3 linked regions of the Rattus norvegicus genome follow. The protein of the gene in region 3 interacts with the protein of the main gene of each other region in a pairwise test. Links are inferred from orthologs where the notes say so. Each region holds a gene or a part of one and is shown on either strand. Other genes may lie near its edges. The genes, in order: Snrnp25, Smad3 and Cpsf7.

What was found.
Region 1: the proteins of Cpsf7 (region 3) and Snrnp25 interact in binary tests that used the Homo sapiens proteins (3 or more experiments, as listed by UniProt). The two-hybrid records come from large-scale screens. The link is inferred for Rattus norvegicus from reciprocal best matches to the Homo sapiens genes CPSF7 and SNRNP25.
Region 2: the proteins of Cpsf7 (region 3) and Smad3 interact in binary tests that used the Homo sapiens proteins (3 or more experiments, as listed by UniProt). The two-hybrid records come from large-scale screens. The link is inferred for Rattus norvegicus from reciprocal best matches to the Homo sapiens genes CPSF7 and SMAD3.

The regions. Positions count from the first base shown.
Region 1 is NC_086028.1:15,921,957-15,932,210, forward strand, and holds Snrnp25 (U11/U12 small nuclear ribonucleoprotein 25 kDa protein), read right to left. Parts: upstream 6,297-10,254; 5' UTR 6,118-6,296; coding exon 6,076-6,117; intron 5,230-6,075; coding exon 5,139-5,229; intron 5,051-5,138; coding exon of another isoform or gene 4,826-5,050; exon of another isoform or gene 4,504-4,825; coding exon 4,398-4,503; intron 3,594-4,397; coding exon 3,519-3,593; intron 3,253-3,518; coding exon 3,195-3,252; 3' UTR 2,976-3,194; downstream 1-2,975. Other genes in the region: Rhbdf1 (inactive rhomboid protein 1), read left to right, coding at 1-51, 171-234, 628-722, 933-1,008, 1,077-1,177, 1,285-1,438, 1,612-2,031.
Region 2 is NC_086026.1:73,127,488-73,137,829, forward strand, and holds the start of Smad3 (mothers against decapentaplegic homolog 3), read right to left. Parts: upstream 4,838-10,342; 5' UTR 4,636-4,837; coding exon 4,430-4,635; intron 1-4,429. UniProt on the Homo sapiens protein: Receptor-regulated SMAD (R-SMAD) that is an intracellular signal transducer and transcriptional modulator activated by TGF-beta (transforming growth factor) and activin type 1 receptor kinases.
Region 3 is NC_086019.1:216,588,765-216,599,104, reverse strand, and holds the start of Cpsf7 (cleavage and polyadenylation specificity factor subunit 7), read right to left. Parts: upstream 6,316-10,340; 5' UTR 6,254-6,315; exon of another isoform or gene 6,228-6,253; intron 6,118-6,227; exon of another isoform or gene 5,980-6,117; intron 5,647-5,979; exon of another isoform or gene 5,622-5,646; 5' UTR 5,567-5,621; coding exon 5,513-5,566; intron 1-5,512. Other genes in the region: Sdhaf2 (succinate dehydrogenase assembly factor 2, mitochondrial precursor), read left to right, coding at 6,487-6,522.

The sequences.
Region 1 (10,254 bases), on a different chromosome or scaffold from region 3:
CCTGGCAGGCAACAAGAGGCAGTTTGGTTCTGTCTGCCACCAGGACCCCAGGTGAGTGCTCCTAATTCCCCTCTTACAATGCCCGTGGCATTGGTGTAGAGGATTCGTTGTTTGGGTGAGGAGGGTGGCATCATTGAGGACAAAGACTCTAACCATTTGGGCTCGTGCAGGGTGTGTGATGAGCCTTCCTCTGAGGATCCCCACGAGTGGCCAGAAGATATCACCAAGTGGCCGGTGAGCTGGGGTCTTCGAATTGCTGAATGGGGGAGGGCACACCCGCATCTTCACACTGCCCTAGCCTCTGCCCAGCCTGTCGGGCAAGGCTTGCCTCTGTGAGCAAGGAGTCAGGGCAAGGGAACTAGGTGAAGGCACGAGAGGTCAAAGAGCGTTATTCTGGTTTGCAGAAGGCTCAGCCCGGGCTCTGGGTGTGACCTACTTGACTCAACGGAGGCCTGGTTTCTATCTGAGTCTTACCTTTGTCTCGGTTCCCAATAAGGGTTAGGCCAAAAGGCGTGCCCTTCCCCTCCCCCGCCCCTCTCTCTCTCTCTCTCTCTCTCTCTCTCTCTCTCTCTCTCTGTGTGTGAGTGTGTGAAGTGACCCTGGCTCTTGTTTTTCTTTCTTACCCAGATCTGCACCAAAAACAGCGCGGGGAACCACACTAACCACCCTCACATGGACTGTGTCATAACGGGCAGGCCCTGCTGCATCGGCACCAAGGGCAGGTGGGTGCTCCCGTGTAGCTGGCTCAGAGCAGCACTTTTCTCCCTCATAAAAGCCCGACATAACCCGATTCCCAGTCACAAGGAGTAAGACTGGGCCAGTGGAGGCGGGTGGGTCTGAGATCCTCCCGAGTAGTGGGCAGGCGTCCGTAGACCTCAGCAGCCTCCATCTGCCAGGCTGGGCGCCCTCCAAACCCTGGCGTGACCCTCTAGGTGTGAGATCACCTCCCGGGAGTACTGTGACTTCATGAAGGGCTACTTCCATGAGGAGGCCACACTCTGCTCTCAGGTAGGCCTTGAGGGCACGCCCCTCTCCGCCCCCGCCCACTGTGGAGGCTGACCAGCCCCTCTGCACAGGTGCACTGCATGGACGATGTCTGTGGCCTCCTGCCTTTCCTCAATCCCGAGGTGCCTGACCAGTTCTACCGCCTGTGGCTGTCCCTCTTCCTGCACGCTGGGCAAGTGGGACTGGGGGCTGGGCTGGTGGTCTCATGCCCTAGGAGTAGTGGGACTGGAGGCAAAAGGGAAGCCGCCTTCTCTGCTGAGTGCCCCTCACTGCCCACAGGATCCTGCACTGTTTGGTGTCCGTCTGCTTCCAGATGACGGTCCTGCGGGACCTGGAGAAGCTGGCAGGCTGGCACCGCATAGCCATCATCTACCTGCTGAGCGGTGTCACGGGCAATCTAGCCAGCGCCATCTTTCTGCCGTACCGGGCAGAGGTAAGATGCTTCTCAGGGTGGGGACCCTCTATAGGTGTGCCTGTGTCTAGCATGGCCCCATCTGTGTCGGAGATCAAGTACACTCTGAGAGGTGGGATAGGAAGATGAGCTTCTGCAGTGGGGGTGGGCTGGTGCAGCCTCAGTGGCTTACGGCTCCCATCCCCCAACATCAGGTAGGTCCGGCCGGCTCCCAGTTTGGTATCCTGGCCTGTCTCTTTGTGGAGCTATTCCAGAGCTGGCAGATCCTGGCCCGACCCTGGCGTGCCTTCTTCAAGCTCCTGGCCGTGGTGCTCTTCCTCTTTGCCTTTGGGCTGCTGCCCTGGATCGACAACTTCGCCCACATCTCAGGTTTCGTCAGCGGCCTCTTCCTTTCCTTTGCCTTCCTGCCTTACATCAGCTTTGGCAAGTTCGACCTGTACCGCAAGCGTTGCCAGATCATCATCTTCCAGGCCGTCTTCCTGGGCCTGCTGGCCGGCCTGGTGGTCCTCTTCTATTTCTACCCAGTGCGCTGTGAATGGTGTGAGTTCCTCACCTGCATCCCCTTCACAGACAAGTTCTGTGAGAAGTACGAGCTGGATGCTCAGCTCCATTGAACCAGCGGTGGACACCCCAGGCCACCCCGGCCTCCTGTGGCCGAACAGACGGGTGCTTCCTGAACACTGACCTCTCGTGCCTCGAGCTCCCGTTGAACCCTCACACTGCTGGACATTATCATCCGAGTCCCCATGATAACCTTCTAACTACTCCCCCCACCCCCCTTGACAACCACCTCAGGTGGTCAATAAATGGACTGGGAGCGTTTTAGCTGCCACTAACGTGACCGGGGTTGCCACTCTTTCCTGATCTCTGGCTGGGGTCATGGGGGATGGCCTTGGACATACAGTTCGACAAGTCAGTGGTTCTCAACCTGTGGGGCATGACCCCTCTGGCAAACTTCTATCTCTGAATATTTATGTTCCGATTCAAGAGAGTAGCAAAATTAGTTATGAAGTAGCAACAAAATAACTTCATGGGTTGGGGGGCAGTCACTGCAACATGAGGAACTGAATTAAAGGGCCGCAGTGTTTGGAAGGTTGAGAACCAGTGTTCTAAGTCGAAGACATCACTGGCTCTCACCTCTCTGTGAGGTCTCGTAGGATGGCTGGTAGCCAGTGTTGGAACATGGATCTTGGGGTGTCCTGCTGTGTCCCCACAGTGGGGAGCATCTTCTACCCCTGTAACTCATTCCTTGTCATGCTGTCTCTTTCCACGGAGGCTGGGAGAAAAACTGCTATCGGGAACCTGCGGGTGGAGGTTTGCGGCCACCGTCACCACAGGCCCTGGGGTTGCAGGCTCCCGTTTCCCCGCAGCAGAAACAGCTGCTCGATGTATATTTCCTCCTTGCTGAGAGGCCGTAGTGAGAGAGGTGAGCAGTGCGGTCCCAGGGCTTAGGTGCAGCCCCTGAGACTTTACTGCTCCCCAGTACCAGCCACCTCTGCCCTCACCTCCCTCTGGTATGGGACAGATCCAGCTCACCCACACAGATACTACGGCTTTCTGGTTTTTACAAGATACAAAGCAAACATATTTATTCTGTAGTCCAGGCCCACAACCACATAGGACCCTCGGGCCAAGTTCAAAGGGAAATAAAGGGCAGAGGAATTTCCCACATTCCACCTGGGCACTCCAGGGATGCAGCTACACCAACACCCTTTCCCCTGAGGACAAGCAAAGGGCGCCATCTTGCTGGGGAAGGTCAGCTCCATGTGTCTGGTGTTCACTTTTGCCTAAGCTTCTTGATAAAGGAAACCTCATCTCGGTTCCGGATGCCATAGCTGGAAAAAGACGGAAGGGTAGTGGCTGACCTCCAGAAGGCTCACCTGGGCTTAGGAGGGATCAGGAATAATCGAGTAAGGGCAGCCATATTGTTCTTCCACCCCCAACACCAGCTGCTGTGAGAACAGCAGGGCTGTTTCTCTGCCCCGAATTTCATGGGAGGTCTCAAGGAAATGCCCACAGGACAGTCAATCCAGCCAGGGACCCTCTTACCACTGCAATTTGCTGGGGCACAGGGCACCATCCCACAGACCTACAGACTTACTCTCTGAGCTTCTTCCTGTCCTCTGTGAGCTTCTCCCCAGCTGAGGTCAGATGGTACGTCCGCCACACATAGGACCTGCAAGAAGGACGTAGGTGATGCATGTGCCACCCCCCAATCCTCTGGGTGGGTAGACTGAGCGGCTGGGATGACAGAGGCTGGCAGCACATAGCCCAGGGCATTGGGATAACTACATTCTCCTTCTGGACACTTTCCCTGCATGACATAGGCCCAAGGCAGTTGCAGAAGGCGCCGGACACATCTTACTAACAAAAAGGTGACAGACTATACTGAGGGATTTCAGATAATGGGATACTTGATCTGATAGAATAGTCAGAGCCAACAGCACCCTGGTGAGGAGGGAAGGGGGCCGCTGACAGGTAGGTATATACCATCTGTTAACTAGGGAGACATTAAGGTGTCAGGTGTCGGGCTGGAGAGATGGCTCAGTGGTTAAGAGCACTGACCGCTCTTCCAGAGGTCCTGAGTTCACCCAGCAACCACATGGTGGCTCACAACCATCTGTAATGGGATATGACACCCTCTTCTGGTGTGTCTGAAGACAGTTACAGTGTACTTATATATAATAAATAAATCTTAAAAAAAAAAAAAAAAGAGTGTCAGGTATCTCCAAGTGACACTATCCATGGGTAGGGCCATGTCAGTGAAAGGGCATGTTGTGAAGGGACCACTGGGGCAGGACTCTCAGACATAATCACCCCACTTTGACATGAGAAAGCTCTCGTGATATGGGACTGTCACCGCATCATTGGTAGTGGGGCACTGGGTGGTACACACATGAAAAGCTGAAAGTTGTCTCCTTACAGAGTGCCCTTGCAAGCCCAGGAGTGGGCACAGGGAAGGCATTTCTGCCCCACTCACCAGCTTATGTGCTGAACACCTCCTTCCCTCTCCTGCTTGAGCTGCACGTATCTCTGGATAGCCTTCTTCAGGTCCAGGACTGTGGCATTCTGTACAACGACCACAGCTGTAACCATGGAAACATGGGAGAACATCCATGTGGGTGGCCACACACAGAGCCCCGGGTGATGGAAGAGAAATCCAGGGCTCTGCTCTGTTGGTCAGGGTGACTGTCCCAGCACACGCACACCCAGACATGGTCTGAGTTTCTCACTGACTAGCTCTCGTCTAATTCCTTGCTGATGTGAAAGCCCAGGCTCAAAGAGAGAAGTATGGTTGTGGCTTGAATGAGAATGACCCCCACAGACTCAAATATTTGAATGTTTGCTTTCCAGTGGAACTGTTTGGGAAGGGTTAGGAGGCGTGGCATTGTTGGGGGCGTGGTCTTGTTAGGGGAGGTGTGACCTTGTTGGGGGAGGTGTGTCACTGGGGGTAAGCTTTGAGGTTTCAGAAGCCCACACCACTGCAATTAACTCTCCTTCTGTCCCATGCCTATGGATCAGGATGTAAACTCTTGAGTTACTGCTCCAGGACCACGTTTGCCTGCCTGCTGTCTGCCTGCTGCCATGCCCTCTGCCGTGACGGTTAGGACTGCAGCTCTCTGCGACCATAAGCTGTGGGGACAGCATTTTCTTTTATAAGTTCCCTTGATCACAGTGTCTCTTTCTAGCAAAAGAAAGTGACTAAGACACTGGTACTTACGCATTACCTCTCCATCCATCTTGCACACACGGACAGTCATCGCCTGGCCATATTCCAGTGCGATCTGGGAGTTGACCTCTTCTAAAGTAACCTAGGGAGGTGAATATGCCAATTCGTTTAACACCCCATCAACAAAGGAAACCAAGCTTGCCTACTGTGTGTTAGGAGTTTCAACTAACACTGGGCCCAGCGATTCTGAGAGTACTGTGTCAAGAGGCTCCAGCCTGTGCCTCAGGACCATGTTGAGGCAGGGCAGGGCGCAACTGACCAACTACCAAAACCTTGTGATAACAAAAACGCTTTTTGTTTTGAGGCAGGGACCCACTAGGTTACCTTGGCTGGTCTGGAGCTCTAAATGGATCGGGCTGACCTCAAACGCACAGAGATCCCCTTGTTTCGGCCTCTTGGGCTGAGATTAAAGGTCCAGCCAGTTCAAGAGATGTTTTAATAAAACACCGAGGGAAGTACAAATAAAGTTGTGTAACTCAGTGGTAGAGTATTTATTTAGCATTCGAAAGGCTCTAGGTTTGGCCCCTAGTTCTGTGAGCACAGAGACGCTAAATAAGGACACCATTGATTGGCAAGGTTAAAAATTACATTAAATAACTACTAAGCCACGCATATTAGAAGTTTCAGGCAAGGGTTGGGGATTTAGCTCAGTGGTAGAGCGCTTGCCTAGCAAGCGCAAGGCCCTGGGGTCGGTCCCCAGCTCCGAAAAAAAAAGAAAAGAGGAAAAAAAAAAGTTTCAGGCAAGTTAAAGGCTAGTCACACTCACTGATAATTGAGTTAAAATCTTAGTGTTTGTTTAATTCAAACTTCACGGCTAAGAGGGAGTGTTTTGGGGTTCCTCACCCTAAGCTTTACGCTTACGCGCAGAAGCGTCTTTCGCTGGCGGGACCACCAGTGCCCGTCCACACCCCCGAGCCCGGTTGTGCACCTGGATCGGAAGGTCGCAGAGCAGCGGGTCTTGCACCACCATAGCGAGACCTTCTTGGAACACGTCCACAGCCTCGGAATGGGGCAATGTCTCCTCGTCATCCTCGTCGTCCTCAGGCACCTCTGGTCGAACCTCAGTCTCCGGATTCTCCAGGGCCGCCAGTCTGTTGCTTTTCCGGCGCTCCTCCAGGCGGCCTTGCCTTCTAGGTAGGAAGGCAAAAGGCGCGTGCGCAGTAACTGTGCTCCGCCCAGACGAGATAGCTCAGCCATTGGTTCACTGCGTGGCTTCCGTAACCAATGAAATGTGCGAGTTCAGGGAAGGGGAGCCAGCAGACAGCAGGTTATTGGCCGGATAGAGTAGGTCACGTTGCACGGTGCGAGCGGCCGAGGAGCTACGAGCAGTCTGGTCCTCCGGGGTTGAGCTATGGTCCTCCGGGGTTGAGCTATGGCCAGACTGCTCTTCTCTACGGAATGGTCGTTAAGGAAGGCCAGCACTGCTATCGTTTCGCACAAGATGCCCGGACCCCGTTTTGCGCAAGACACCCGTGCCCGTGTACAGCATCACTCTACAAAGTGACGCTGGGAGGTGGGCGCCTCCTGCAGCCTGGGCGCTGCCTTTGCCAGCCAGGTCGCAATCGACCGAGATTCTACCTCCGGCTCCATTCCAAAAAGTGGCTTGAAAGGTCCACCTTAGGAAGCCGGTCATGGTGGAGTCGCCAGAGAGTGGTGGCACACGCCTTTAATCCCAGCGCTTGGGAGGCAGAGGCAGGTGGATCTCTGAGTTCGAGGCCAGCCTTGTCTACAAAGTGAGTTCCAGAACAGCCAGGGCTATACAGAGAAACCCTGTCTCAAAAACAAAACAAAAAGATAATAAGAATAAAAAGTGAGGTGGAGCCTTGGCGTGGTGGCGCTCACCTTTAATCTTGGCAGTCAGGAGGCAGAGGCAGAAGCAGAGGCAGGTGGATCTCTATCTGAGTCGAGAGCTAGGTCTGTATAGGAAAGCCGGGGCTACAGAGAAACCCGGTCTAAAAACAAAAACAAAACAAAAAAAAAATCTAGGCGGGACCTGTGGTCCTTGGAGCTGTCCAGGGCGGAGGTGCCATGATCTACAGTCCTCGTGTTCTTCCTATTGCTCTTTTTACACCACCAGTCACTGCAACAACTGTTGTTATGAGGACGCTGTGGAGTCAGCACTGAGGGCTTTTGTTTTGCCCCCGTCACGTTTCCCTGGATAGCTACTTTAGCCACTTGTCTCACTTTTTAAATCTTCTGTGTATGGGTGTTTTATCTGCATGTATTCCTTCTGGGCATGATGGGTGTGCAATAGTCCCAGAGGTCAAAAGGGGGTGTCAGATACCCCAGAACTGGAGTTATGGACACTTGTGAACCATCTTGTGAATACTAGGAATTGAACTGGGTCCTCTGGAAGAGCAGCAGCCAGTGCTGCCTCCTTCCCCTTCCCCCTTCTTCTCCTTCCCCTCCTCCTCTCCCTCCCGCCACTCCCTTCCCTTCTCTCCCCCATCTCACTCCCCCTCTTCCTCCTCCCTCCTCCTTCTTCTTCTTCCTCTCTCTCTCTCTCTCTCTCTCTCTCTCTCTCTCTCTCTCTCTCTCTCTCTCAATGATAGTTACCCTATTTAAAACTCTAACTCTAACTCCCGTGCCAAACCTGTTGTGTGCCTCTAATCCTAGCACTTGGGGAGACTGAGGCAGGAGAAATGGTTTAAAGTCCACAAGCAGAGATAAAGAAGAAAGTAAGAGGAGCAGGGTTACCTGGGGGAAACCCTGTCTCAAAACAAAATAAACAGAAAATCTAAGGTATAGATTAATGTGGGCCTAAGTAAGCATGATTTATCTCTTGTCTGTGACATTTTTCTTGTCGATATTGTTAGATTACGTCCTGCTGACTAGGGGCTTCCAGTTCTTTGGGGGCAAGTTTGATCTTCCTCATCAGGACATCCACTTTCTCCTTTTTCTCTCTTCGCACATAACTACTTGACAAACTGCAACAGAACGTGACCAACAGCATAAAACCACAAACCAGCCAACCAGAATTCCCTCTACCAGGGCCCTGGCATTTATAAACCCTCTGAAAAGTCCCCAGAATTCCAGATGTCACACACTCGCAGAAACCATCTGCAGCTGGCAAAGCCACAGCCCCTGTCTGAGTAGGAGGCAAATCACCATCAGCTGCTGGAGAATCTGAAGTAGCCCCTCCCCCACGCCTTCTGGGGTCTTTTTTTTTTTAGATTAAAAAAATTAATGTATGAGATAATTCAATGTATTTAATGTATTAATTTATTTAATTTAATGCATGTACACCTGTATGCCAGAAGAGGGCCCAAGATCTCACTATAGATGGTTGTGTGGGTGCTGGGAATTGAACTCAGGACCTCTGAAGGGCAGGCAGTACTCTTAACTGCTGAGCCATCTCTCCAGCCCGTACTTCTGTGTTTTGTTTTGTTTTTTTTTTTCTTTTCTTTTTTTCGGAGCTGGGGACCGAACCCAGGGCCTTGCGCTTGCTAGGCAAGTGCTCTACCACTGAGCTAAATCCCCAACCCCTACTTCTGTGTTTTTAAAAAGCCAAAATTCTCACTCTGTAACCCCATTGACTATGAATGTGTTCTATTGGCTCTGTCCCTCAGGGGCCACTGGGTGATCCAGAAGGACGTATCACCTCTCTGACATGAAACCCCCATTGTGTATTAGGTGCTGAACCATGGGAAACTGCACAGAGATGCACATCCACTCGGCCAACGAACTGAGAGCCCAGACGGCTTTGCTCATTCTACATACTGAGGTGTCAAGAAGCAACAAACTACCGACAATAGTAATAATTAGTAAAAATAACACAGAGTGCAGGCCTCGAGGAAGGTTTACATCAGGACTCTGAGGGTTTACAACACGAAGATCTGTTGCAGTTAGTGCTTTGAGTATGATAGATTCCTCTTATCGTCTCAGCCGTTTCCTTCTTTCTGATTTTTGGGACAGGGTCTCATGTAGCCCGGGCTGGTCACTATGTGGAGGAGAATTATAATAATGCATCTGTGAGCCTCCTGACTCTGGCTCCTCATGCAGGACTACAGGGTTTCTCTGTAGCGTTGGCAGTCCTGGAGCTCACTCTGTAGACCAGGCTGGCCTCGAATTCACAGGGATCTGTCTGCTTCTGTCTTCCAAGCCGTGGGATTAAAGGCATTCATCAACAAATGTTCGACTCTTTTTTCTTCTTTTCTATATCTAATAATCTTGCTTTTATCTTGAAAATTAGGAATGACTGATATTTCCGAGACTCTAGATTCTGCTTTATTTCTCTGGAGGATGGTGATTTTTGTTTCTGTGTTTTTGAGACAGGATCTCTACCCTGGGCTGACCTGAAGCTCGCTCCTGCCTCCTGAGTTCTGGGGCTGTAAGCGTGGCCCACGTCTGTGTTATATGGCGCCAAGGATTGCAGCAGGGCCTCAGGCATGCTGGCCAAGACTCAGCAGCGAAGCGACAGCCTCAGACCCTTGCTTTGTTTTTTAAGATGGGTGACCCGGGATGGCTTGGAACTTGTCACCCTCTTGCTTCAGTTTTAGAGCCCTGGGATTGCAGGTGTGTGCTGCCACACCTGCCTGTGATTATATATGTGTATGTGGATATAATGTATGTGTGTGAAAAGATTTATATGGAGTATAGAGATCCTGTCTCAAAAACAGAAACAGAAACAAAAACCACCAGTCTTCAGAGAAACAGAGCAGAATCTACAGTCTCAATAACGTTAATCATTCATAATTTTCAAAATAAATAGAAGACTTAGCTATACATATATGTGTATGACTATGAGTTAAGGTATCAGTACATTTAACTCTGGCTGTCCTAGAACTCACCACGTACACCAGGCTGGTCTCGAACTCACAGAGCTCATCCTCCCTCTGCCTATTGAATGCTGAATTAAAGGTGTGCGTCACCATGCCTGGCTTTGTCCTTGAAGTGGAAGCAGCGGGAGTCTCTCTAGGGCTGTGTGGCCCTGGCTGGGCTGCTGGGAGCTGGCTTGCACACTTCTAGTTCAGGGACATTCAGTCATTTAGAAATAGGGGCTTCCTTCTGTGCCTTTTTTTCCCGGGTTTTCTTCCTTCCAGTCTAACCCTTGTGGTTTTCACAACTGGGATTATGGTATGGGTGGTAAGGCTTGCTGTCATGTGTG
Region 2 (10,342 bases), on a different chromosome or scaffold from region 3:
TGGGGGAAATGTTTCAAGGAGAATGGGTAGAACTGGGGATGACAATGTTAAGCAAAAATCACATTGAGACATAGTGCGCCTTTTGACATATGCAGAATCTAGAGTTTTTAAAAATATGTGTAAGACATGAAACTAGAAGAGGGACTATAAGGAAACCAGCACCGGATGAGAGAGCAGGGTGTAAGGGGCGGTAAGTATGAGCAAAATACAAGACTCTAAAATGTCACGAAGAAGTCTGGTTTGTACAATGAACATACACTAATAGTAATAAACCAAAGGCCAAGTTCCCAGGAGCTCCATACAGTCCAAACTCCTCCGACCATCACCCCAACCAGGTATCCAGCACACACCAACCTCCCACACACACATGCTGGTCCCACCCAGAGCACTGTTCCACCTCTGTCCTGGTGCTGAGTTCCTTGAGAGCGGGTGCCCAGCTCCTGCCAGCTCAGCAAGCACTTGATAAGTGAATAAGTCCCACCATCAAAGTGATGAACGAGGACACAGGGCAAACACACACACACACACACACACACACACACACACACACACACACACACACGTACAAACAATCTCCCCAGTACATCTGCAAACACTCCTGGAGCCACACGTGCACACAGTCAATCAATCAATCAATCAGCACAGTGATACAGTACAGATGATTTTAAATCCAGGCAGGGACCTGAACTCCAGGGCTTGGGTAGGATTTATCTTCCCCAGAGAAAGCAGGTGGCTGCCACTGTTTGCTATTCTGCTGCTGTGCTTCACGGTAAAGCACGTATCACACTCACCTTCCCCACAGCACTGCCAACCTCCAAAACCCCCCATCTTCTCAAACATATCTCTGCATCCCTCTCTAGGGCGAATAACACCGGGGCAGAGACCATATCTCATGAGTCTGGGTAATATCACTGAGTACACAAGAAACAGTCCTATATTCCCTGATTAGAAACTGAGAGTAAAAGGCTGTCTGCAGAAAATATGGATGCAAACATTCTGCCCTGGGACCAAGCAGCAAAGGTCAAAGTTCCTGCAACCAGAGACTACTGACTCTGGTCAGCCCTCTAGTCAGCTATCTGCTGTTCTGCAGCGCCTACACACACACACACACACACACACACACACACACACTCTCCCCATCCCCCAACCCTCACCTCCGTCGTGATGGGTTACATGCTAAGAGGAGGCTTGTTGCCAACGGTTTACACCACGGTGATTGGCCTGAGACCTATCAGGCATTATCTACAGCCTTGGTATTTCTGTCCCCAGAAGCTATTACAAGTAAAGATACTTTTCCTCTCTCCACTAGTTGAGGGTAGTCTAACAAAGTCCCTGGAGGCCCCAGGAGGAGGTCATACTACAAAGGGAGTGAACAAAGGAGGGAGGAGTGCTTCCTGTAAAACCTACTTCACCTCTTGATTTTCCCTCTGGACTTGGTGCTCTGTAACCAAGATCCCTTCTAAACCAGAGAGACCTTCTGCTTGATCCAGTGAAGGCTAACCGCTGCGCTGACCTGTCTCTCTCAAAGGCGGGTGCTTCAGCTTTCCTTTAGGAACTGGAGAGGGAGACACCTGTGTCTCCTCTCAGATGCTCAAGCAGGGGGGAGTGGGCTGTTGGCATGGCTCTGCCCCACCCCTGCCAGATCTGAGATGCCCCGCTCACTGCTCTGTGGAGTAAAGCGAAACTCCCACACCGCCTCTCTGTGAAGGGAAGCAAGCCTGTATCACTCCAGTTCCCCTGGTCACTGAATGTGCCTAAAGCTGGGAAAAAGAAGCCAGCATGGGGCAGATAGCTACCATAGCCAAAAGGTGCCACTGCTGCTCAAGATGTCTGTTTCACATCTCAGACAGAGAGTCCTCAAAGACCAGCTCCAGATTTGACAGAATGTACTAAGGCACCCAGTGTCCCGCCCCACACGAAGCGGGTGACTAAGTCACACACTTTCCTTTGTCTGCTTTCCAAAGCCCTAGTTCTCAAAGGCAGCAATGTGACAAGCAACACACAAGCCCTGGGCTTAGCAGACACAGGGATCGCACCAGCAGGAAGCCAACTAGTCGCCTCCCCAAGACGTGGCCTTTAGCTTTCTGCCCATGGCCAAAACAGCAGCAGCTGTTGCCAAGGGAGACAGGGTGACCCAGAGGCGTGGGCACAAAATCCAGGGATGGAAATCCACCTTTGTCTGGATCCACCCAAGCAACTGGGTCTCACTAGTTGAGAAAAGATGAAAGAAAAGAATCCCAGGCCTGGGAGGGTAGGTCAGCAGCAGAGGGCTTGCCTAACATGCAGGAAGCCCTGGGTTCGGTCATCGGTTGCAGCCAAAGAGCCAACGAATGAACACCCCGCTTCCTTACCTGGCCTCCTAGGCCCAGGCTGAAGGTACCCAGTCCTAGGAGGCTGGGAGCACAGGCATTAGCCTGAACTCTCAGTACCACACTAACTTTTACCTGCCGGTGAGGAAGGCACAGCCTCTCCTCCAAGCTGCCCCCAGCCCAAAGATTAACCAAGAGCCTTGCAGGCAGAAGAGATCTACTACCCACCCCGGACAAAACAACCTGGGAGAAAGGGTACGCCAGATCTAGTCGAATGCTTTGCCTCTCTAAGTTCTGTCACTTTGAAAGCAAGATCGTTCTAGACCTCCGTGCCTTTTCTGTGTCCCGGTTCTGTTGTCCTCCAGGCACGTTCGTGCCTTGTAAATTGTGAAACACTCTGCAGCTTCGTAGTTGATAGCTCTGGAGGAGGGCTCAGAACAGAAAGCGCTTGGGCTGGGTGCACCCAGGCAGATTGGGAAAAGGCTGCGTCTCCAGATCTGACAGAGCCCTATGAAACTCAACCATCCTGCTCCATCGAAACGATAAAGGAGAAGGGGAAACCGGAGAAAACCACCACATCACACCAGGTCCCCTGAAGCCGGCTGGCAGAGGCTCAGAGGCCGAGCAGACAACACACAGCCTTCCCTCTTCAGTAGGATCCACCCACTCAGGTTTGGAGTTGATAAGACTTTTATTTTTGTTTGGTTTCTTTTTTTTTTTTTAAGTCGGCATTCCCACCATATGTGGTGTTTATTTCCAAGGAAGGCCAACCCTAGGTCCCTGTGGACAGACATTGTTTTGTGCCTTACTATCAGGGCTGGCAGCCCATACACAGCTGCCTTGAGCAGGTGGCCAAGGATGGAAGCTACCAGGACCCAGAACAGTGATGACCTCTACTAGTGTAGGTCCTGGGAGCCCTCCCCCCATCCCTCTGCAGCCAGGGACGTCCCCAAACATTCCCACCTGCCCCTCATCTGGAATCAGTCTTTAAAGGTGTCTGAGAAGGAAAAAACAAAACAAAACCAGAAGACTAAAGTGCTCTCACCCCATTGCCCAGACGCGACTATGCTCTAGAAGGCCTTGGGAGCGAAGTCACTGACCCCTTCCATCAGCCATCTGTGAGCTCCCGCCCGACTCCTCTAGCCCGATGGGAAGGATAAAGGAGGTCAGGACAGATGGCAAAGCGCTTTGGGAAAAGAGGCTCTACAGGAATGCAGGGCCGATGGGAGGCCAGCCCTAGGGTGTTTTGTTATCTGCCTGGAGCTGCCTGCTCGATTCTAGGCACCAGAATACCCTGGATTTAAAAGATCGCAAACCAGCAGGGGTGGGGTGGGAAGAGGGAAAGCCCCTACTTTCTGCCACTTGTTTCTCCCGCTTCAAAGTCGGTGCTCTGCTCTCTAACTAAGTGCGTGCGTGCATGCGTGCACAGGGGGCGGGAGGCTGGCACAACCAAATCTAAAAATACTCAGTAAAAATGCTAATCCCAAGGCAAAGAAAGAGCGAAGAAGGAATCTGTCAATCAACGGGCTCCCGCTCCTCACCCACAGCTGTACCGACTGCATTCCTGTAGACGAGGAAAAGAAATGGGGGAACAGAGCTGAAGAAAAGAAAGGGACACACGCCACCACCTCCAGGAGCCCGGGGCGGGAGGCGGCGGAGGAGGAGGGGCTCGGCCGGCAGAGCCGAACAAAGCGGGGCCTCCACTTGGAGCCCGAAGCCCCGAGAGTTAGGGGGCCAAGCTCAGAAGCATCCCCGCTGCCCAGAGGCAGCTGGCGATCGTTAAGGTCTAGAAGCCAAAATGCCGCACGGAAGCCTGGGCTCTGAGCCTGGACAAATCCGAAGGTTTTGTTTGGGGTCCCTCCACCCACTCTCCGTCCCCTACAGGCGCGCGCGAACACACACACATACACACACACACACACACACACACACACACACACACACACACACACACCCTCCCACCCTCCCTCCTTATCCAACACACACACACACACACACACACACACACACACACACACACACACACACACACCCTCCCACCCTCCCTCCTTATCCAACCGGGCCGCGCTAGGGGGCTGGGCCGGCGCGTCCCCCCACCCCTCGCCGCTCTGGGACCCCACCTGGGGATGGTAATGCACTTGGTGTTCACGTTCTGCGTGGTGATGGCCTTCTCCAGCTCGTCCAACTGCCCCGTCTTCTTGAGCTTCTTCACCAAGCTCTTGACCGCCTTCTCGCACCACTTCTCCTCCTGCCCGTTCTGCTCGCCCTTCTTCCAGCCCAGCAGGCGCTTCACGATCGGGGGGGTGAAGGGCAGGATGGACGACATGGCTGGCACGGAAGGGTCACCGGCGCCCCCGGCGGGGCTGGACGCACTGGGGACGCCGGGGGCGCACAGAGGCAGCTCGGCCTGCGCCGCGCCCGAACTTCGCTTTTAACTCTGGAGAACTTGCCCAGGCGTCCCGGCCAGGATAGCGGCACTGCAGTTGCGGGGATCCGGAACACGGCGGCGCCCGAGCGGCTCCACGCGGACCGACGGACTGACGGACAGGCCCGGGACGCGCGGGGCGGAGGCGGCGGCCGCGAGACTCCGAGTGCCAGTAGAAAGTTTGGGTTTCCGCACGGGGTAGCTGTTTGGGTGCCGCCTCCGAGAAGGAAAGTCCAACCCCCAGCCAAACTTTGCTGGCCTGGATGGCTTTGGTGCGCAGATCCCTCCGCCTCTGCAGCGCTGCTGCTCCTCCCCCTGCGATCGCCGCCTTGCAGGACCGGCCAGGGCCGTGCAGCCGTGCTCCCCGCTCCTCTCCCGCCCGCTCCCAAGTCTACGTTTCACGCAGCTCCGCGTGCAGCCTCCTTCCCAACGCAGTCGCCGCCCCCTCGCTGCCGGGGCTCCCCGCTCCTCCCCCGCGCCCTGCTCCGGGGAGGACCCGCGGCCTTCCCCGCCCAGCTCCGCCAAGCGCGCCCACGTGGGCCACCGGGCACGGCGGCCGTCAGCTCTGCCAAGTGCCGCGGGACCCGACTCCTGGGGACTCGCTGCCCCCAAGACGTTCAGATGTAGTTGCAAGGACTAGAGAGGATTAGACTCGCAGGGAACAGGCACGGTCCGCCAAGGGCTGGCTGCACCTGGGAGAGGACCCGGGCGCGGCGAGGGGTTCAGAAAAAGCTCGGGGCCCAGGAAGTTGAGGCGCGCTGATCTCGCTCAGTGGCCGGGGCTGCTTTAGGTGTTTTTTGTTTTGTTTTTGTTTTCCTGCTGGGTGAGATCAGAACGGCTGACTGCCTGAGACTACTGAGGAGGGAGTTGGAAAACGGGAGAGGGAGACTTAAAAGGGGAGTTACGAGACCTCAGTGACAACTTGAACAATAGCTGGAGCCAGGGGTCCTTTGGGACCAGTGAACCAAGCTCTTTACAGAAAAGGAGCCTCAAAGACATCTGTTGCGTTCCTGAAGGAATGAATGCGGGCGCTTTAGGATTTTTCTTTGGGGGAGGGGGAGAATTAACATTACAGGGTGTTACTGAAGATCCGAAATTCAACACCAAACAAGTAAGAGAGCTTTTGTTTACAAATCAGTGAACTCGCGCGCGCGAGCACACACACAAAGTATAGAGCAAGCCTGGAGGACTTAGGAAGTTTATTCAAAGTTAGCCTAGGTGGGAAGCCAAGAGAACCTGACTTGGGGTAGCTCTAGGGCTTTACCGCAGACTGGGCGAATGCAGGGCTGGTTACCCACCGGTCCCTCTACTGATTTGAGGTGTTACAGCAGGCCCTCAGCTCCTAAAGACTATGCTTGTTTTTGCACACGCACGCACGAACACACACACACACACACACACACACCCCTCCCGTGGTGAGAAACAAGTTATTTGCAAACCAAGATCCGGTGCGAGTTACAAAGCCCTATGAAGTGTGGCCAGTCCCACAAAGTCAGCCCAGAAGCTTCAGGGGCCCCCTGCTCTGTCCCTGAGGCTGCCCCACCACCAACCGCCAGCCGCAGCTTGTCAGGGGTTGTGGTTTTTCTCCTCCCACCTCCCTGATACCGAGTTCTGAAAGGAAGACCCCTGAGGCTCAGTAGATAGGCCGGTCCTTGCAAACCAATTAGATGGTGGCTGTAGCTTCCCACTCGATGCTAGAGACTATAAGGAAGGAGGTCTTTGTTTTGTTTTGTTTTGTTTTGTTTTTTTTTCAAGACAGGGTTTCACTGTATCTCTAGCTGTCCTGGAACTTGTGCTGTAAAGCTGGTCTCAGATCTGCCTGTCTCTGCCTCCAAATACTGGCATTAAAGTGGGCAGTCTTAATTGCTATGTTCACACAGATACACCAACTACTGCCTTTAAAGTCCTGGGAGACACAGCCCCAAGGGTCAGAGCCAGGATTTAAACCCAGGTTTTTGTTTGGGTTTGGTTTTGAGGTCTTCCAACTGGCCCTAGAGCTGTATAGGGGCTATGACCCAATTTGCAAAGCAAAAGCTTTCCTCACAGGCGCATCATAACTACGATAGCCCTTTGCTCTCTGCCTCCTAGGTGTCGGGACTTTGCAGAAGTCCAGTACAAGACAGGAGTGGAGACCAGTGTTGATCCCATTCCTGAATAAGGATAGCCGGGAGAGATGGTTCAAATCCTGCTTCTCCAGCACTTCTCCAGCCACAAGTATGCTGCTTGTTGAGAAATTTGCAGTGAACAAGGAAGAGCCTTAACCATGAGGAGTCCACAGCCAGAGAAGCACCAAGGGACAGGGATGAAGGTGTGCTAGGTGGTCAGAGAAGAACAGAAAGGGGCCTATGTAATCATCTTCCAGTAAAAAGTAAATGTTAGCCAGGCAGTGGTGGCACACCTTTAATCCCAGCACTTGGGAGGCAGAGGCAGGCAGTTCTCTGAGTTCAAGGCCAATCCCATCTACAAAGTGAGTTCCAGGACAGCCAGAGCTATGCAGAGATACCTAAGAGCACTGACTGCTCCTCCAGAGGTCCTGAGTTCAGTTCCCAGCAACCACATGGTGGTTCATAACCATCTGTAATGGGAACCGATGCCCTCTTCTGGTGTGTCTGAAGACAGCTACAGTGTACTCATATAAATAAATAACATTTTAAAAAAAGAGAGAGAAAAAAAAGAGAGAGAAGAGAAAAAGAAAATCAACAACAAAAAATATTTCTAACCTGAACCTAAAACCAAGTAAGGCAACAAGGTGGAGTCTGAGGTGCCCAGGTCCTCCACGTTGCTGAGCCTCTAGTCTCTTACCTGTACAGCATGGTGAATCTGGAAAGAATATTAGAAACACTTAGATTGTTCTCCAGGACAAGACCTCACCCACAGGTGAAGCCATGTCTGAGGGAAGCTGTATGTACCACAGAGGAAAGGAGGGACCCTGAGGAGAGAAGGGAGGAGCAGAGTCAGTAGCTTGGAAGAACCTTTACATCATTGAGAACCAGAAGGGACCACCATCCACCCCTTCATTTCCCTTAGGGGAGGAAATAACCGGGCAGACCCACTGGTGTGACTGAAAGACTTCTGAACCTCCCCTCCCATGTCAGCATCCATGGAATAAGGACCACTGGCTTGCAAGAAAACTGAAAGTGTCATCACAGGGCCAGTTTCCCATGGGGGAGGAATAGACCCCTCTACATTGGGCAGTGAATAGGTAGGTGGCTCAGGATTGGTTAGAACTTCAGCTGGCACCTGGTCTCCTAGGACCCAGCCAGACCTGCTGTACAGACTTTGTCCTTGTCCTTGGGAGGGAAACATGAGTCCGGTTAATTTTTCATCCTGGTGAGAGCAAAGTTCAGGATCGTGGGTGGAGGCAGCTGTGTCTCCCTAGGAATAGAGAACACAGTCAGGTCAGAGCCTAAGATACCACGTGCTAAAGTGTGTGAGGTGTGGTTCCCAGAGGAATCGTGCAAAGAAATGAGCAGTCACACCTGGCCAGAGTTACGATATTTAATCATCAGGTGGTGAATTGAGAAAGAAAGGGTTCTGCTCACATCCCACACAGAGGGGTGACGCCTGGTAAAGGCAGGTAGACACGCAGGGCTGGGATTGTCATTAGAGGACCTCGGTCTGCAGGCCTTTTCTAGCAGATTTTTGTAGTCTGTGCCCAAGGTGGCCCTCCTAGAACCCAAAAAAACCTGGGTTCAACATGGAGCTCCACGTCCAGCTGAGAACCCTCTGACCTCCACATGCAGGCTATGGCACACATCTGCCTCCCATAAAGGAGTGCACATGCACAAATAAGTAAATGTAATTTTCACTTTAAATAAAGCCACTGTCCCAAGTAAAATCAATAAATTAGTAGTACAATGCTATGTATGTAATATATAAAGATAACACACAGCAAACTGCTACACACCTATTGGGCTCTTTTTTTTTTTTTTTTAAAGCGGAAAATGAGACGGTTTGACTATGAAGGAATTGGACCATGTGCCCATTGCCATGAAGAATATTAAAATAAAAAAAAAAGTGTTGCCTTTGTGGAGAATGGTATAATAATTACCCAAAACAATTAAATGTAGAATTACTATAGGACCCAACAATTCCACTTCTGGCCACACACACACACACACACACACACACACACACACACACAATGAAAGCAGGAGTCCGAAGATAGTATGTGTGCACCAGTATCCATAGCAACATTATTTCACAGTACCCAAAGCTGGAAACCCTACCAACGACTGTGAGTGACAGCGTGGTCTGCATGCACAGTGGAATAGTACCCAGCTTTAAAAAGACGTACCGATTTGTGCTGTGACAGAGAGAGGCCTGGCAAACTCTATGCCAAGTGCAATAAGCTAATCACAAAATGACTAACACCATGCGGTTCACATTTGTAGACACAGAAAGCAGGAGGTATCTGCCTGGAGCTGAGGGACCAGGAAGTACTGTGAGTTACTTACTGGGCATGGAGCTTCGAACCAGGAAGAGACTTCTGAAGATGGACGGCGGTGAGGGTTCTTCAACAGCGTACGCATAGGCCATACCCAGAATTGTACACTTAAAATGGGTAAAGGGGGCTGGCATGATGGCTCAGCAGCTAAGAGCATGGGCTGTTCTTGCAGGGGACCCCATTCCTGTTGCCAGCACCCACATAACAGCTCACAACTGGAACTCCAGCCTTAGGAAATCCAGTGCCCTCTTCTGGCCTCTGTAGGCACTGCATATATGTAGTGTACTTAGAGAAAGGCCAAAAACACTCAACCACATAAAATATTTAAAGTAGATATGTCTAATGTATCTTTACTAAATAACAATAGATAGGAATTAAAGTTTAAAAAAAACATACTAGACCCAGTAGAATAGATGTTTGAAGGTAGTTAAATGGAAAGGAAAATTAAAGCGAAACAGAAAGAATAAATTCCGAGATCTATACTTGTGTTAGGAAGAGTATGGTTAGCCAAATTCTTTGGTCGGTCTTGGCAAGGGGAAGGTGTTATGTTCTGCATACAGCATTAGTAAAAATGCTAATTTTTTATGGCTGTTCAAAAGACAGTGCCTGGGGTTGGGGATTTAGCTCAGCGGTAGAGCGCTTGCCTAGCAAGCGCAAGGCCCTGGGTTCGGTCCCCAGCTCCGAAAAAAAGAAAAAAAAAAAAAAAAAAAAGACAGTGCCTATGACTTCCAGCTTCACCTAGTTCTGAGGTCAAGATCTCTCACATAAGGTGAACTCAGTGAAAATGATATTAAATGCCTGTCTAAATGCTTCCCTAGGATGTATGCACTGAGGAATTTTTTTCCATGACATCGTAAGAAGCACAGCCAGGGGACCAAGGCTCTGCGTGAGGCTTTCAGATTTCAAGGATGAGGTCATATCTAAGGTCTCCGTAGTCATGAACTGGAGATGCAGCTCAATTGGCAGAGTGCTTATCTAGCATGCACCAAGCCCCAAATAAACTAGACATGGTCACTCATGGCTATAATGCCAACACTAGGGTGGTTGAAGGCAAGAGGAACAGAAGACCAACCTTGGCTACCATAGAGAATGTTCCAGAGCAGCCTGGGTTCCATGAGACCCTATCTCCAAAAATCATAAAAGGAAAACTAAATCATAGTC
Region 3 (10,340 bases):
AAGCAAACCAATATGAATGAGATACACTAAAGAGATACATGAGATCAGTGACGTCAGATCAAAGACCACATCTTAGATATATTAGTAAAAATGTATTTTTAATATCAAGCTATATATTATTGCATTTAATAAGAGTACATTTATCTAGAAATATAAAGCAGAGGAAAGAAAGCAAAAGTGAGTAGGCAACAAAATGAAACAAACAAATCAAAAACTGGGAGTTATCCTTTGGTTTATACAAATGACCTGGGGAAACTTCCAAGCTCACAGAATACAACTTCAGCTTTCTAACAGATATCTAAGAAATATAAAGAGAAAGGAGTAGAGGACTGAGGATATGGCTCAGTGCCTGTCATCCCAGCATATGGGAGGTAGAGGAAGATCAGCAGCTGACAGCTCGCAGAGTTTGAGACCAGCATGGGTTGTACCTGACCATCTTATAGAAAAACCAAAAAGCCAGTGAGGTGACCTGAGTTCAATTATCAGAACTCACATGGTTAAAAAAAAAGTTTTGTCCTCTGACCTCAACACACATACCATATATAAAACAAATGGAAAAATAAAAATAAACCACCGGGGTTGGGGATTTAGCTCAGTGGTAGAGCGCTTGCCTAGCAAGCGCAAGGCTCTGGGTTCGGTCCCCAGCTCCGAAAAAAAGAAAAAAAAAAAAAAAAAAAAAAACAACAACAACAACAAAAAAAACCCACCAAAATCCTGAGCAAATACCCTACCTCCCAAGAGACTTGACGACTCTATCTTGTTCAATACTCTAATCCTCAGAAGCCATTCTTAGCTCTCCATATCTGTCAGTTTCTCAGACCTAACCAGCTGAAAACATCCTTTATAATTTTCTTTAAGATGGGAGCAGGAGAGATAGCTCAGTGGTTAAAAACACTGGCTACAGGCTGGGGATTTAGCTCAGTGGTAGAGCGATTACCTAGGAAGCGCAAGGCCCTGGGTTCGGTCCCCAGCTCCGAAAAAAAGAACCAAAAAAAAAAAAAAAAAAACCAAACCACTGGCTACTCTTCCAGAGGACCTAGGTTTGATTCCAGGCACTACTGTCAGCTTACAAATAATTATAACTCCAGTCTCAGGTGATCTGATGCCCACCTCTGGCTTCTGAAGGCAATACACACACAATGCATAGACATACATACAAGCAAAACACCCAGAACACATAAAATTAAAAATACAAGGGTCAGGGATAGAGATTTTGCCTAGCAAAAGGCAAGCCCTAGATTTTGCTGTTAGCAAAGCCAAAATAAGCATGGTCATTATCCAGAGATTTTTTTTTTAAAGTTTGTGAAAGGAATGCACAAAGATTTTGCATGCAAATACCTCGTCCAAAGGGTATTGCCTAGCATATGAATATGCTAGGCAAGGTCTCTCTTTACCACTGTACTAGAGCCTTTTTTCTTTTTAAATAAAATTTGAGATAGGGTTTGGCTAAGTTATCAAGACTTGCCTTGAACTGGTGATAATTTTTGCTTTACAGCTGGGGTACAGGACTATACCTTCAGGCTCACTAACATTTTTTTAAAAATAGACTTGAAGATTTTGTCACAGAGAAAGATTCTGAGACCAATCCCCTAAGGATATTAAGGATAACTAGACTTTATACCTCCCACCAAGGCTTTTAAAGAGGAAAAAAATTTCAAATGAAACTTAAAGGCAATAAGGAAATAACAATATTTTATATACTCAAAGTTGGCAAACTAAGATTCCTTTTATGCAGTATCTGTGATTCAAAAATGTATCTGAGAGTTATAAGGCAAAAGTCATCACTGAGAACTGGCTAGTTAAAATAAATAAATAAATAAATAAATAAATAAATAAATAAATAAATAAAAGGGTCAGTGAACCAGTATGAAGACTTCAACTTAGGGAGCAAACACATCAGTAGGAACCTTTTTACACTGTTAGCTTAAAGGCAATCAGTGGGCTCTTTGTAGATTACCACTCAAAAAGAAAATCCAATGAATTTGAATGTTCAAAGTTTCAATGGTCCATCCAAGCCATGGAACCTAAAAAACTAGCAGTAGCTGGACATGGTGGCATAATACCAGTACTTAGGAGGCAAAGGCAGGCAGATCTCTTGAGTTCGAGGCCAGCCTACTTTACAGTGAGTTCCAAGATAACCAGGGCTACAGAAAGGAACCTTGTCTTACCTGACGGGACTATAGAAAAAGATTAAAGAACAACAAACAAAAGACCCAAACCCCACCTATCCCACAAAAGAAGCAAAAATCAAATACACACCCATATTTTATAGGTGGCAATGCTAAAATTTTTGTTAAGTTTAAAATGAAAATATGTATTCAATATTGAATAAATAGTTCAGTAAGAATTTTGTTGTCAAGGATACACACAGAAAACTACGTTATATCATGAAACTTCCTAGTAGGAATTTGATTTTGCCCTCCAATAGGTTCAATGTCCCTACCTCATAGCTCCTTCTCAGTATATGACCCAAGGAAGTAACTAACTTGGATATAGTTTTCTCAGTAAAACCATCGTGACTGTTGGTTACCTTTTCTTTGATTTGTAAAAGGCCACATCAATTTTAGGCCTCATACTCACATCTTCACAGCTCTCAATACCTTCTCCTCCATCACAGTTGCCCATTATTCTGCACTGTTACTGTCTGTTGTTGTGTGTTTTCTGACAGTTTGATATTGTAGCCAAGCTGGCCTCTAACTTGTAGCAGTCCTGCCCAGTCTCCAGGGCACTGGGATTATGGGGATGTATCACCATACCCAGCTAACATCACTTTTACTTTTAACCACCACAAATGGCACCTATTTTCCAGCACAGGGATTCACTCTCTCCCAACACCTCACCACCTCTGGCAGTATTAATCCTACAGGAGTAGTTCAAATCCTCCCTGACAGGAATATTCATAAAGCCCATCTTAGCATGAGAAGGAACAAACAGAAAATTCAGGTGAGTAGCAGTTCTCACTCACCCTTTTAGTTTGCCCTTGTCTAACTGAACAGTATGAATCCCATGGCTCCCAATATAACAGCAATAAAATAACTATGCAAAAGGTTTTTGCAGCACATGCTGCCAGGGTTCAGAAGCAAATACCACAGGGTTCCACATAGTAAATGTACTAATTTTCCTTGGGGACAAAAGTACTCTTGAGGGAGTTATATGCTTGCTCAGAACAAACCAGTAACTGTCCTTTAAGGCATTCAAAAACTCAATTCATACAGGTTAACTTCTATCTAAGCCAATGTTTAACAACTCTACTCAGACTTTTAAACAATTTAGCAGCTTCCAGATTACACTAAAACCAGCTTTGTCAAAAATTAACTTATGAGGATAGGGTACCCCTTTTTCAACTTTTAGAATGTAAAATATTCAATCTGTATTTGCTTCATTTTTTTCCCATATTAACATTGCCTGCTTGGTATAAATGTCTACACATTAATTTTGGCTTTAGATTAGAAAATCCTTTTATAAAAAAGTTAATTAATGAACAAATTACTGAGGGTAATAATGTGTATCTTGACAAAGCAGTGACCACTGGACAAGAACGTCTTGTCTATGACCCCTAATTTATAAACCATTTATTACTTTTTCTTTATATCAAATATGGCCAATGTGTCAACGACTGTCTATTCTCCAAAGTGAATTAGTTGCAGTACCAGTCAACAACATATATTTAGAATTGGGGGTATCTTTCAGTAATACAGAACTAAGAGAGTCTTGTTAAAGAAGAAGCCATAAATTTCAAATGATAAAAGACTGACTCACACAAACACATAAAACCCAGAAAAGCCAGACTAGAGAGAGGGCTCAATAGTTAAGAACACTTTCTGTTGGTCCAGAGGACTTGAGTCTGGTTACTAGAATCCACATCAGGTAGTTCACAACTACTTGTAACACCAGCTCCAGGGAACCCCATACTACTAGGCTCCTTGGGTACCTGCAAACCACTCACATCCACAAAATTTAAAATAAAATAATGGGACATATGAGCTTCTTTTGTTGCCTACCAAAGTCAGGCTATAATCTAGGCAGTCTAGACCATTCTTTCCAGGTCCTTATGTGTACCCTTTGGAATACACCAGAACCAGCTAGCTTAAGAATAACAGTACTAAAAAGAACCCAGGTAAGAAAAAAGTTTTAATGGTATGCACTAATAAGTGGATATTAGCCCAAAAGCTCAGAATACCCAAGATACAATCCACAGACCACATGGAGCTCAAGAAGAAGTACCACCAAAGTGTGGATGTTTCAGTCCTTAGAAGGGGGAACAAAAATATTCATAGGAGTGGATATGGAGACAAAGTTTGGAGCAGAGACTGAAGGAATGGCCATTCAGAGCCTGCCCCACCTGGGGATCCAGTCCATATACATACAGCCACCAACCCAGACAATATTGCTGATGCCAAGAAGTGCATGCTGACAGGAGCCTGATATAGCTGTCTCCTGAGAAGCTCTGCCAGAACATGACAAATACAGAGGAGGATCCTCATAGCCAACCACTGAACTGAGATATGGAGGAATTAGAGGAAGGATTGAAGGAGCTTGCACCCCATAAGAACATTAACAACCAATCAGAATTCCCAGGGACTAAATCACTACCCAAAGAGTCCACATTCCCAGTGTAGGGGAATGTCAGGGAGGCGGGAAGGGGTGGGTGGGTGAGGGAACACCCTCACAGAAGAAGGGAGAAGGGGGATGGGATAGGTGGTTTATGGACAGGAAACTGGGAAAGGGGATAACATTTGAAATGTAAATTTAAAAAATCCAACAAAAAATATAACTAAAATTTAAAAAAGATAAAAGTTTTAAATAGAAACTTTTCGTTGAGCTTTGACCTCAAGATCAAAGAACTCAACCTCATAGATTACTTTTTAAGGTGACATTTAAAATGTAAAAACACAAATTCAAACTAGGATGACCAAATCTTTGACTTGCCTTTAAACTAGTTTTATCCAATGGTTTTTACCTTCCTTCCCATCCATACCAAAATGCCCACAGAATTCTCAGTCAAGCGATTTAAAAAGATTGAAAACACCTGGAGTGGAGCTAGAACTCCCATCTTTAACGCAGTTGATATACCGTCTTTCAAAGTTATCTCTCGTACTGTCTATACCATTGGGAGGGGACAAGAAGGGGGAGGGACTAACATGCTGGAGCCGCAAGCTGAAAGAACTGCAAAGTAACAAGTATCAAAATTATCCCCGCAATACTGCAACAAATGTAATTTTCATTTTTAATTATGGTTACTCATCCAACTTTGGAATGACTTGGGGAAACAATTCCACAGGCTGATTCACCATTCTATTACACTTGGGTTTTTATTTGCTCTTAAAGCAAACCCTTTAAAATTGAAGCCTGGAGGTTCAAATTAACATAAAGAGGAATGGTCAGTCGTCTTCAAAGTCTCCGCTAGGGGGAAACGCTTCGATACTAAAAGGAATTATTTTGTGGTGAGAGAGAAACCACTGTCAGTAGATTTGACCGAAGAAAACCCAAAACTGCTGCTAATTCCTCTCACCTGATTGAACTCTTCATCAGCGTATATATCAATCAAATCCACTCCTTCTGACATGGCTCCGGAAACACGCTCTCGAGCCCGGAGAACGGACAAAGTAAGAAAGATGCCACTACGGTATTCAGAAAAGGGTAAAAAATTTTAAGACACAAGGGTCCCAGGCTGGGAGGAGGGCAAGGGTCAACAACCTCTAGTCTCCCGAGAGGCAGCATCCCGGCAGCCCCGAGCCTGGCCCCACCCGCTCCGCCCCGCCCCCAGCCTCGCGCCGCCCCCTGCTCTCCCAGGCCGCTCGGGCTCGCGGGGCTCGCTGCCCATCACCCGCGGGCCCGACCGGAGATGCGCCGAGTCGGCGCCCGTAGCTGCCTATGGCGCCACTGCCAAGTCCAGGCAGGCCTCGACTCTTGAGAGGGCCCTCGGGCCGCGCTGTGAAGAACCACTGCGACCAACGCCGCAAGCTCAGCCCGTCGCACCTGCTAGACCCAGGGGGCGTCCCAAGCCGGAGCCCCCTGCGGGCCCGGAAGCTCCCGCCGCCTCCACTCCAACCCGGCCCGGTCCTCGCTCTCGGCTAGGCCTGCCCTGCTCCCTCCCACAGCTCCAGGATCTCAGCCCCTCCCTCAGAGGCCCGCGCTTCCCTCCACCCGCCGTCTTCCGCCGCCGCCACCCCAACCGACCCCCTCCCCTCCGCGGCGCCAGCCCCGGCCCTCCTTCCGGCCCCGCCGGCCCCCGGCCGCGCGCCCCCGTTACCGGGAATATGGCGGCGGCCGCGGAGAGTCCCGACTAGGCCCGAAGCGCGCGAACCGCTCTCCGCCCCAGGTCCCGCCCCCCCTACCGGCGGCGTCACACGCACCACTACTTCCGCCATACGCTGGGACGCGCCTTCCGGCTTGGGGTCCACCTCCACGGGTGAAGTCCTTAGATCGGCCGCCCGGAGTTCCCGGAAGAGGGTCGGTTGCTAGCTTCCTGTACTATAGGGAGAAATGGCGGTGGTCACCTTGATCCCGACGCTGGCGCGGGTGAGAGAGCCGAAGATTTAGGGTTCGGGGCGGGCGGCAGCTAGGACTGTTTCGTCCTCCTCTGTGCCGTGAAGACTGTAGGGAGAATTCACCCATCCCACAGAACCAGGGAAAGGTCCCCTCAAGGCGAGGCGCATACTGCCGCTGAGCATGCAGGTCATTTTCCATTGGTTACTTAGCCCACGGTGTGTTCGAGTGAGAATACTGGATACTATGTAGTTAAGTGGCCAGTTACCATACGAGACTCAAGGCATATCTCACTTATGTCTCCAGGAAGAGTTACCGAACCTCCCCCGAAAGCCTCCTTTTTTTTTTTTTTTTTTTTTTTTTTTTTTGGTTCTTTTTTTCGGAGCTGGGGACCGAACCCAGGGTCTTGCGCTTCCTAGGTAAGCGCTCTACCACTGAGCTAAATCCCCAACCCCCGTCTCCCTTTTTTAAAAGCCGGTTTTAATTTGTTACTCAGGCTGGCCTGAAGCTCGCCATTCTGTCTCATCCTGATCTTAAATGTCTGTATGTTTGAGAATTTTCAGGTTTTATTCCAGTAGTGTTGAAAGCTAGTTGATATGGTTTATCTTAAACTTATCGACATGTGAGCTCCTGGGCATATTCATCCGTACATTTGAGAGGAATGTATGCTCTCTTGTGTGGAATGTCTGTATACCTCAGCTAGATATACTTAAATTAGTATTGTTCTGGTTGTCTAATATTGATTCCCCCATCTGGATGTTCTATTCCTTATTAAATTGTGGCATTAAAATCTTTGTTTTCACCCCCTTCAGTTCTGTCAGGGTCTCTTTCATATATTTGAGTGCTCTATTAGGTCCACATGTATTTATGATTTTCATTCTTTCTTGCTAACTCTTTAATATATATAATATTCTTTATCTCATATGACAATTTTGTTGTTGGTGCTAAATGCCAAACCCAGAGCCTTGCATGCTAGGCAATTTCATTTTCTTTCTTTATTCATTTTTTTTAAGTTTAAAAAATATGTATTTATGTTTATGTGCCTTTGTGAGTTATGCCCGTGTGTGTAGGTGGCCATGAAGGCCAGATGAGGGTGTTGGGTTTTCTGGAATTGGAGTTACAGGTGGTTTTAAGTGTGTGTGTACAGGTACCACTGAAGCTAAAGAGGGTGCTAGGTGCCCTAGAGTGGGGGAGGGGGATAGGAAGAGTGGGGGCTGGCCTTGTATAGTTTCAGAGGCTTTCTGAAGCCTTTAAGTTGTTTGCTTCCTGAGCTTAAGGAGCATTCCTGTAGGACGGAATATATTTATTACCGTTCTTTAGAGCATCCTATGTATTGGCTGGGTATAGTAGAATAAGGCAGGAGGGTCTCTGAGTTCAAGACCAGCCTGATCTAGATGTCAAGTTCTAGGTCAGCTAGGGCTTTATAAGAAGGAGGAGGAGGAGGAGAGGAAAAAGGAAGAGGAGGGGGAGAAAAAAAAAGAGGAGGGGGAGGAGGAGGATTTTATCTTGGAGGAAATTGCTACACAACACCTATCATGAATGAAAGCCCTGGGTTTGATCTCTAGCATCACATACCACAGAATGTATGGCATGCGTGCCTATAATTCTAGCACTCTGATGTTGGTGGCGGGAGGATGGGAAGTTTAAGGTCATCCTTGGTTCTTTAGCTGGTTCAGGGCCTGCCCATATGCTAGTATGATCAGAAGGGAGCTTGAGACCAGAGAATCCCTGGAAGTTCATAGGCCAGCTAGGCTGGCACACACAACAAGAACAACAAAGAGACTGTCTCAAAGCAAGGTGGAAAGCAAGAACTGGCACCTGAGGTGTTCCTCTCACCTCTCCACATGCACCTATCTTGCACACATAAAGATGTTGTAAAAGTACATTTTCAAGTGCCTTTTCTTAGAGATGCTGGTCCAGAATGCTTAGGCTGTGTGTGGCTTAGGAGACTGCATTTTTACAGCATACTGTATTCATTTACTGGAGCTGCCTTACAATAGAAATTTATATTCTCAAAGTTATGGAGGCCAGAATTCCAGGACAAAGATGCTAGCACCGTTTTCTCTGGTGGTCTCACTCCATGACTTGCAGATAGCCACTTTTCCATTGTGCCCTCATGTGGCTTTATTTGTACCTTCACATTTCTGACTTACTAGACAATTTATGTCTTAGTCAGTCTGGACTTCTTAGGTTTGTGATACTGTTTTTTTTGGGGGGGCTTCTTGAATTTGAATGTCCACTTCTTTTTTCCCAATTTTGGATGTTTCAGTCATTATTTTGTTTGTCTAAAAAGACAGTGCATGCATATGTGTCTGTCTGTGTTCTGGGGATAGAACTTGGCTCCCTAGGCTTGGCAGCAAGCCCCTTTACCTTCCTCTATCAGTTCATAATCAATAACTCCCTAGTGCCAATGTGATGCTACAGTTTCTTTGTAAACACTCGGGTTGTTCAGTGTTGCCTCCCTCCTTCCTGCTCCCCTGTTTATCAGGTACTGTAGCCCCTCAGCTTCATAGTAGTCCTGCTCTTGCCTCACAAGTGCTTGGATTACAGGCATGAGGCACCATGCCCCAGCTGGTTGCTCTGCTTTCTTATTCTTGGTGGCTATCTGGACTTCTTAGAATATGCTGGCTGTGTTAGTGTTGCAAGTTGTTCAAAATAGAAACCAGCCAGTCCCTTGGGCAATGCCAGCCCCCATGTTCCAGAACATTAACCATACAGTTGACTCTTTCTTGAACCATGGGGAAGAGGCTCCTAAACAATACTAGATTTTATCTTACTTTGTCTGCCTTGGTCCTTTGCATCAAAACTAAACACTCCCTTGGTCTCCATGGTCCCTAGGCATCTGGAATGTGCCATGGCCTGTTGTTGCTCTGAGACGAGAGAGATAAAAACCGTAGGCAACCTTTGAGAAGCTGGAGCTTTAGATGGATACCCCAGCTCTGTATCTCCAGGGAAAAGCTGGGAGTTGTGGGATTTTTGTTTTGGTTTTTTCATTCTTCAGTAAGGCAGGATGGGGACCATGGCAAGTGAATGATGTGGTACAAATCATCACCTTTGTTCGCTACAGCTACAGAAACGTGCCCTTTCCTGTAGCACTTAGATTCAGCCAGAGCAGAAGCTGTTTGAATGATATTCCAGGAGTCTTACCTTTCCCTCTCAGGTAGAGGCCTGGTGCTGGGGCTTTCTCCCATCATCTTGTTCTTTGGGGATTTGGGGGAAGACAGGGCTGTGGCATGTGCAGTCCATAGCCTTTCTTATTGGCTTCAGCGCAGCTGGTTTTGAGCTAATCTGGGGAGCAGGAGCCTGTTGTCCAGACTTCTCACGAGGGAATGGATCTGCGAATTGTTGGTCAGTACTGCCCTTTGCTTGTGCTTTCTAAAGCACTCGCTGTTGCACAGATACTTCCTCTCCTCCCTCATAATTTCCTTGTTCTAAGCCTAACCATAAGGCTAAGATCCCTAAAGTCTTTATGCAGTTAAACAATATTGCTATTGACTTTCTCCAATGCTGTGCTTTCTTAGATGGACTTGGTGGCAAGGAAGTCATCACTTAGTTCTTTTCATTGTCTTAGAGTTATAACCTTAGGTTTGGAGTCTGAAGCTGTCTTTTGCTACTTTGCGGGCTCTTCCCCCCTCATCTGTCTCCTCCCCTCTTCTTCTACCCTTTCAATCCCCTGAAACTAGATAGGAGAGAAAAAAGGATAAAAACACTAGATAGGGGGAAGGGGGTGACATTGTTAGACTACTTCTTACTGATTAGGGATGTCAACTTCCTTGGGGCAAATATGATCTTTACCATCAGAATATCTTCTTCTATTTGTCTTTCCCCTCCTCCTTTGCTTCTCTCCTCCT